Linked DNA regions of Danio rerio. The protein of the gene in region 1 interacts with the protein of each later gene in a pairwise test. Links are inferred from orthologs where the notes say so. Each region holds a gene or a part of one and is shown in the gene's direction. Other genes may lie near its edges.

Region 1 (4,035 bases):
CATAACGAATAGTTGGATTAAGGTTGCTATCAATTATTTATTTTTTATTATTCTTAAGTAGTTTTACGATCATCCCTCGTATATATTCGTACAGAAAAATAAATTGTGGCAATGGGATTCAATTGACGTTTGACATCTGAAAAATCAAAGAATGTAAACAACTGCTTATTCCTCCTCCCAACAGCATCGCTCCCCTTCCCTCGCTTGCTCCTTTCTCTCTTTCTCCCGAAAACACACATGAAGAGAAAGACCATCATACACAGACACACACCTTTATGAAACATTCTGACAACTTTTTAAATTATGCCACCACTTTAGTCCATTTTAATTGTACATATATCATACAATGTACTTAAAGGATTAGCGTCTTTTATACTTTACATTAACCTGAATTCATGCAGTACAAGATATATATATATATATATATATATATATATATATATATATATATATATATATATATATATATATATATATATATATAATATATATATATATATATATATATATATATATATATATATATATATATAAACTCCCAATAGCAGAAAAGAATATTACGTTATATATATATATATATATATATATATATATATATATATATATATATATATATATATATATATATATATATATATAACGTAATATTCTTTTCTGCTATTGGGAGTTAATTATGAATGACACTCGCGATAAACTAACAAGCAACTCTCTGACAATTTTCAAATACATTTTTCCAAGAAGACTCAAAACTACAAGAGAGGTCAGATGAAGTACAGTATTCACAGTCTCAATAATTTAACATTAATTTTAATTAGACGCATTTACAGACACTAAAACTACATGAGAAAAAATAAAAACCTAACAAAAAGTGTCACAACGTCTCTGAAAGGAACTAAACGTCCACACCAAGTGTTTTTAGTGTTCACAATCTCAATTAAACACTTATTTTAGCTACACGCATTTACAAAAGCTTAAAACTACATGAAAAAATAGAAGGCCTTGCAAAAAAAATCAAAGTGGCAAAACACCAGTTAAAAAGGAAGTAAAAGGTCTATACCAAGTGCTTTCCAAGCTCGTGTTGCCCATCACCATCGGTTTGAAGAGAGAGTGACAGGTCTTTGTTGGTGAATAGAAATCAGTGGCATTGGAGAGAGGGAGGACTCCTCCTACCCAATTACCCAAGCTGGGCAGGCGTTTGCTCTCTTCACAAATAGGACACAGGATCTCTAACACACACAGTCCCAAACCCGACTTTCACGCATTCGGATCCTCAGTTGGAGATTGGGACTATCTGAAAACCCACGTTTAAAACATCCTCCAGACTTCAGTTTTGCCTTATATCATCCGGACTATACTTTTTTCTGACGTTGGAGAAAGTGGACTGGTTCTCCTGACTGTTCCTGCGCCGTCCATCAAATTCCACCGGCTTAATATTTTTGTAACACATTGATTGCATTTTGTTGTGAATCTGTTGGTGTAGATCCACTCGGATGTTTTAAGGATCCGGAAAGCTGTATATGGAAGTTGTGGGGTGCAAGGCGAAAGAAAGCAGTTGCACATTGCGTCCAGCAGCCATGCTTTTCCACGGCATCTCTGGGGATCATATTCAAGGGATCATGGAGGAGATGGAGAGGAGATCTAAATCGGAGTCTCGACTAGCAAAAACCGTCCAGATGAACGGACGGGAGACGGTAAGAATTTGTGTTTTGGCGTGCATTTTACGTTAAAGCAAATGTCAAACTCTCCCGTCGCTATATACACCTCATAGTTTGTAACCCACTTTTAAAAACGTAGCGAAAACATTTGTACGATTTTAAAACATTAGCAGGCCTCTGGAAACATGCAAAAAGTAATTACGGAGGATATCAATAACATCTGAAATGCCTAAGAGTAACTATAAAGCATGAAGAGAGTTATATGCCAAAATTAAATTTCACATTTGAGCCAAAATCTACAGACATTTTATTTTATTTTAGCAGTTTCACAACATTCCTTATATTTATTTTAGGGGTAAGATGTCCAAAAACGACAAAAATAAGATCAATATGTTTTTGCCAAGCAAGTGACAAAATATTTAACAGTTAATAACCTGTAGGCTTGTATTAAATTTAATAATAATTTTTGTGATAAGAAATAGTCATTTTTCGTTAACATTTTTTAAATTATATTTTAGACTAGGCACTCATTAAAATGAAATCAAAGCACAGAACAAACAAAACATGCAATGTGTAGTTATGCATCATATCTAGTTTTGGTTTGATAATTGAGAAAGCTCACTCATAATTTTATTAAAAACATAAAAATAATAAATATACAGTTTCATTTAGTATGCTTTTGAATTTACTTTAAGTTCTATATCTATAATGGCAAACTCATTTACTGTGGTGTATTTTGATTAACGCCGAAACCTTTATTTACTCCACCAATTATGTTTTTTTTTTTTTTTTTTAAAGACTATGCCCTCCATGAGCCCAGAGAAGCCTGCGCTGTGCGCCGGCTGCGGTGGTAAAATCTCCGACAGATACTACTTACTCGCCGTTGATAAACAGTGGCATTTAAGGTGTCTCAAGTGTTGTGAATGTAAACTGGCCCTTGAATCCGAACTGACGTGTTTCGCAAAGGATGGCAGCATTTACTGCAAAGAGGATTACTACAGGTAAGCATTAACTTTGAGGCTTAAATCTTGCGTTAGGCCTGTTTAGTAGGCCTAACTTTTTTTTTCGAACACACATAAAGGCTGGTGACATCTGAGCTAGTGTAAGCCATTGACCCATATAGTGATCTTCAGTGATTAACTGACACGCCTAAATTAATCTAATAAACCTAATTAATTCATGCTCAGTGCGTCTATTTTTCTATTCAATTTTTAGCCAGTTGTTTTTTTTAAGGAAAACGAATTATGTCAGACTATAGAAGATACAACCATTTTTCCAAATAAATGTACACATATATAAATAATAGCAAATGCGTGCATTTAAAAGATTTTGATTAATAAAAATATCTAAATTTCACGTGCACCCGCTTTTTATATGTTAAACGTATTTGTTAATGACATACTAAATGTTTTCATCAATCTATGTTTGATTGTAAATGGTGTGTGCTGTTCCAGAAGGTTCTCCGTGCAGAGATGTGCCCGCTGCCACCTCGGCATATCCGCTTCGGAAATGGTGATGCGCGCCAGGGACTCCGTGTACCATCTGAGCTGCTTCACCTGCACCACATGCAACAAAACACTGACCACGGGTGACCATTTCGGCATGAAAGACAACTTGGTTTACTGCCGGGTTCACTTTGAGACCCTTATTCAGGGAGAGTATCACCCTCAATTAAACTACGCTGAATTAGCGGCCAAAGGCGGAGGGCTTGCGCTGCCTTACTTCAATGGCACCGGCACGGTGCAGAAAGGAAGGCCACGAAAGAGGAAGAGTCCGGCGATGGGGATTGACATCGGCTCTTACAGCTCAGGTGAGATGTCAATTTACAGCTGCTCAGTGGCGTTGCTCACCATTTATTTTGGTTTATTTCTGAGTGTTCGTGTTCGTTTTGTTAGCGGAGTAATTTGATTCTTAATTCGAATCTTTCGGCTTTCGAAAAAGACGATCAGGACAAATTAATTCAATTAAACTGTTGTTCAAATAGATATCAATATTAGCCTACTTTTAAATGCAAAAGTCTAATAATTGTGTCAAGTGTCTTTATATGTTTGATTATAATATAAATGCATTCTCGGCTGTATTTTTAGAGTTTTCAGTTTGTGCAAAATTAGCCTACATTTAAAAAAAAAAAACGACATTATTAAAAATAAAAGATATGTAGGCTACTGGCATCAGTTTCACGAACTGTCCTTTTTAATATCATAAAAGCTTTTTTATATAAAAAATATTTTTAATTATAATTATTTTTAGGTATTTTTTATCTTTAAACATTTTTTTTTTGCTAAAAAGCTTATTTAGGCACCACAGACATCTTTAATGGCATTACTGTTAAAAAACAACATTTAGTTCGTCCTGGCACATTTATTTTTAAGATAACGTG
Region 2 (3,522 bases), on another chromosome or scaffold:
ACACTAAACTGAATGTTCACTTTCCACATACTATGTCCAAATATTGCAGTTTAATGACCACTAAACAGCACAACCGAGCAATTACTGGCAACTGCATTTATAGCAGTACCACATAATAATACTATTTAATCTCAAATCAATATATAATTGTAATTGTTTCTATTTATTTGTCAAGCAGCCGTGTAATAAGTGGGATGATCCAGTTAGATGCTCATTATCTCAAAATAAACCTTATGCAGAATGATACAAAACTCTCTGTTGAGGTTTGTTTATGCACACTAGTGGACTGTACAGTATCATTTACTTTTATTTGCTTTGTCTGTATAGCAAATTAACATATAAAACCAGCTCTTATTTTCATTTCTGCCTTAAATAATGTTTCTCATGACTACAACCTGTTCTGAAAACTTCCAAATCCATTTCCTTGTCTATGAGGAGAAGCACACATTGGCTTATAATCACTGTTATCTTATAATAACAGCCTGAAGCTGACTATTTGTCTGCGCTGATGACTGTTATTGAATGCTTTTCTGTATACAAACTGACAGGCATCCGCTCTAGAGCAGTAATCTAAGGTTTTTCCACTGCAGATCTTGCACTGATTCACTTTGTGACAGTAAATAGTTTTGTATTATATGATTACAGCGAATCATATCAAAATAATAGAGAGTGATTATGACCTATCAGGAACATTTCATAAACTGACCATTCTCTGTGAACACCTGATTGTTGTAGTCTAAAATCTAAAAAGCACTTTCATCAGCTATTCTCTTTGTTTAATCAGAAACTTGCCAGATGTTTCTGTAGAAGATTTTTCAAAGGTGGATCTGAGCCAATACAAGTGGGTCCACTGGGAGGTGAGCGGGTCCGCCAAATATCTTTCATTTGCTACATATTAAAACACACTGAAACGTCATTTAGTTACTTCTGATCTTTATTTTATTCCACAAGTGGAGAGCTAGAGCTGATTGTTTTATGAATGTTTTGTCAGGGCCGTAATGCTGACGAACAAGTGAAGATGATTGAGAGGGTGAGAGAGTATAACAAAAAACAAGACGAGAAGAACAGAATCGCCATCTCAGTGGAAATCGAGAAGACCAGGGAGCCGCTCTACCAGCTTTTTCCTCTGGGTGATTTGGTATGATTAAACTCTTGCGAATAAAAAGTTGATCATTATTTTGATTTTAATTAATTTCTTTGTTTTGTGGTTTATTAACTTTGGATTTATTAACTGAATAATAGTCAAATGTTGATTGTGATTTTGGCCAGTTTACACATTAATAACCCTTTAACAGGCATCTTAACCACATGGTTTACCTTTTATCCATAGGTTATTATAATTTTTTTAAATTGCTTAATTTTGTTGATGAGAGTTGTGTCAGTATATTATTTAATACAAGATGTGGGCCAAATAATATTTTAAAGGAGTGCACCTTAAAGCTTTAATAAAAATCTATATTATTAAAAAATATTGATCATCCGTCTGCGCCAATAGCCTAGTGGTTAAGTGCACTTACATATAGCACCATGGTGCTCACGATGACCCGAGTTCGATTCCCAGCTCGGTCCTATGTTGACCCTTCCCCTCTCTCTGTTTTCAACTATTTCCTGTTAATTCTATGCACTTTTTTTATCCATTAAAAGTTAAAACCCCCTAAAAATAATTATAAAAAAAGTATAGATCATCCAATCAGCAGATTAAATGATTTCTAAAGGATTTTGTTAGGGTTATGAAGGATTGTGTGTTTACCAACCTATTTTGTCCAGCTACGTGCCTAATTAACCTTAGTTAAGCCTTTAAATTGGACTTTTAGCTGAATACTACAGGGTTTCCATGCTTTTTGAAAGCACTTGAATTGCAGACATATGGATTCAAGGCCTGGAAAGTACTTAAAAACAAACAGGTCCTTAAAAGTGCTTGAACTATTCATTGATTTTCCTTTGGCTTAGACGCTATTTATTAAGGGTCACCAAAGTGGAATAAAACCCCAACTTATCCAGCATATGTTTTACAGCGGATTCCCTTCCAGCTGCAACCCAATGCTGGGAAACATCCACACACACTCAAACACTTACACCACAACCAGTTTAGTTTATTCAATTCACCCTTTTCAACTGACCCAGCCAGGACTTTAACCAGCAACGTTCTTGCTGTGAGGCAACAGTGCTGACTACTGAGCAACCGTGTCACCCTGCTTAAATTATATTTGAAATAAAATTTGTTTATAGTGTTATTTCAATAATTGTACTGTGCAGCTGTCAAAAACAGAATAATAATAAAAAACTTTTAAATCTTAAATTATAATCTGACAAATAACGCACGTTTTAGCAAATTTATTTATAACCAAGATTGAATTCAACTAATTTTATTAAAGTTTTAAAACGGTCAACATAAACATTAACTGTAAGTGAAGAATTCAGTATGGACTTTCATTCTGCTACACATGCTGGGCTGTGAATTACAAAGGTGCTTGATTTAAAATGAATGGTGCTCTAAAAAGTTCTTGAAAGTCTGAATCTGGTAACCATAAAAGACTCGGAAGCCTTATACTATTGTTTAGCAAATTTACTAGTACAATATTGTGTTCTGTCATCATATCAATGACAAGAAATTAGATATTAGAAATTAGCTATTGGGTGGCGTGCTGGTGCAGTGGGTAGCGCTGTTTTCTCACAGCAAAAAGGTTGCTGGTTCGAGTCTCGGCTGAGTCGGAGGGCATTTCTGTGTGGAGTTTGCAATGCATTGTCTCCTCGTGTTCGCATGGTGTTCCTCCGGGTGCTCCGGTTTTCCTCACAAGTCCAAAGACATGCATTATAGGTAAATTGGGTAAGCTAAATTGTCCGTTGTGTATGTGTGTGAATGAGTGTGTATGGGTGTTTCCCAGTGATGGGTTGCAGCTAGAAGGTCATACGCTGCGTAAAACATATGCTAGATAAGTTGGCGGTTCATTCCGCTTTGGCAACCTCAGATTAATAAAGGCACTAAGCCAAAAAGAAAATTAATGAATGAATGAACTATTGTTTAAAAAATCTTCTCTGTTAAACAGCATTTGGGAAATCTTTGAAAAATAATTGAAATTTCACAGTAGGGATCATAGTTTTGTTTTATACATTTTAATGCACACTTAGTTTATGAAAACATTTAAAGAAGTTAAGCTTTCCGTACTGCACTGTTACATGGAGATGAAATTAAAATATCTAATAAATATGAAGTATATAGTAGACACAATGTTTAATAAATGAACATGCATGGAGCTCAAAATTTAAACAAGCCTGTGTTGTTTTCTTTTTAAATTCTGTAGAAATTCGAATGTGATGTATTATATACAGGCCAGCTATTAAGCTTGCATACATGTTTGGACACCGCATAACCTGTGTTATCTGTTTTCACTCAGGTCTTTGTTAGTAAGGATGTGGCCCAGCACTTTGGGTTCGACTCAGCTGCTGCAGCACTGAAGGGTTTCAGTGGTCGACTGAAGAAGGGGTGAGTCTGTCTCCTAAAATGACCACTAGATGTCACTA

What was found. The genes of interacting proteins can lie anywhere in the genome.
Region 2: the proteins of lhx9 (region 1) and khk interact in binary tests that used the Homo sapiens proteins (3 or more experiments, as listed by UniProt). The two-hybrid records come from large-scale screens. The link is inferred for Danio rerio from reciprocal best matches to the Homo sapiens genes LHX9 and KHK.

The regions. Positions count from the first base shown.
Region 1 is NC_133197.1:23,080,437-23,084,471, reverse strand, and holds the start of lhx9 (LIM/homeobox protein Lhx9), read left to right. Parts: upstream 1-1,233; 5' UTR 1,234-1,517; coding exon 1,518-1,691; intron 1,692-2,453; coding exon 2,454-2,656; intron 2,657-3,109; coding exon 3,110-3,465; intron 3,466-4,035. UniProt on the Homo sapiens protein: Involved in gonadal development.
Region 2 is NC_133192.1:13,617,016-13,620,537, forward strand, and holds part of khk (ketohexokinase), read left to right. Parts: intron 1-784; coding exon 785-857; intron 858-991; coding exon 992-1,138; intron 1,139-3,395; coding exon 3,396-3,484; intron 3,485-3,522. UniProt on the Homo sapiens protein: Catalyzes the phosphorylation of the ketose sugar fructose to fructose-1-phosphate.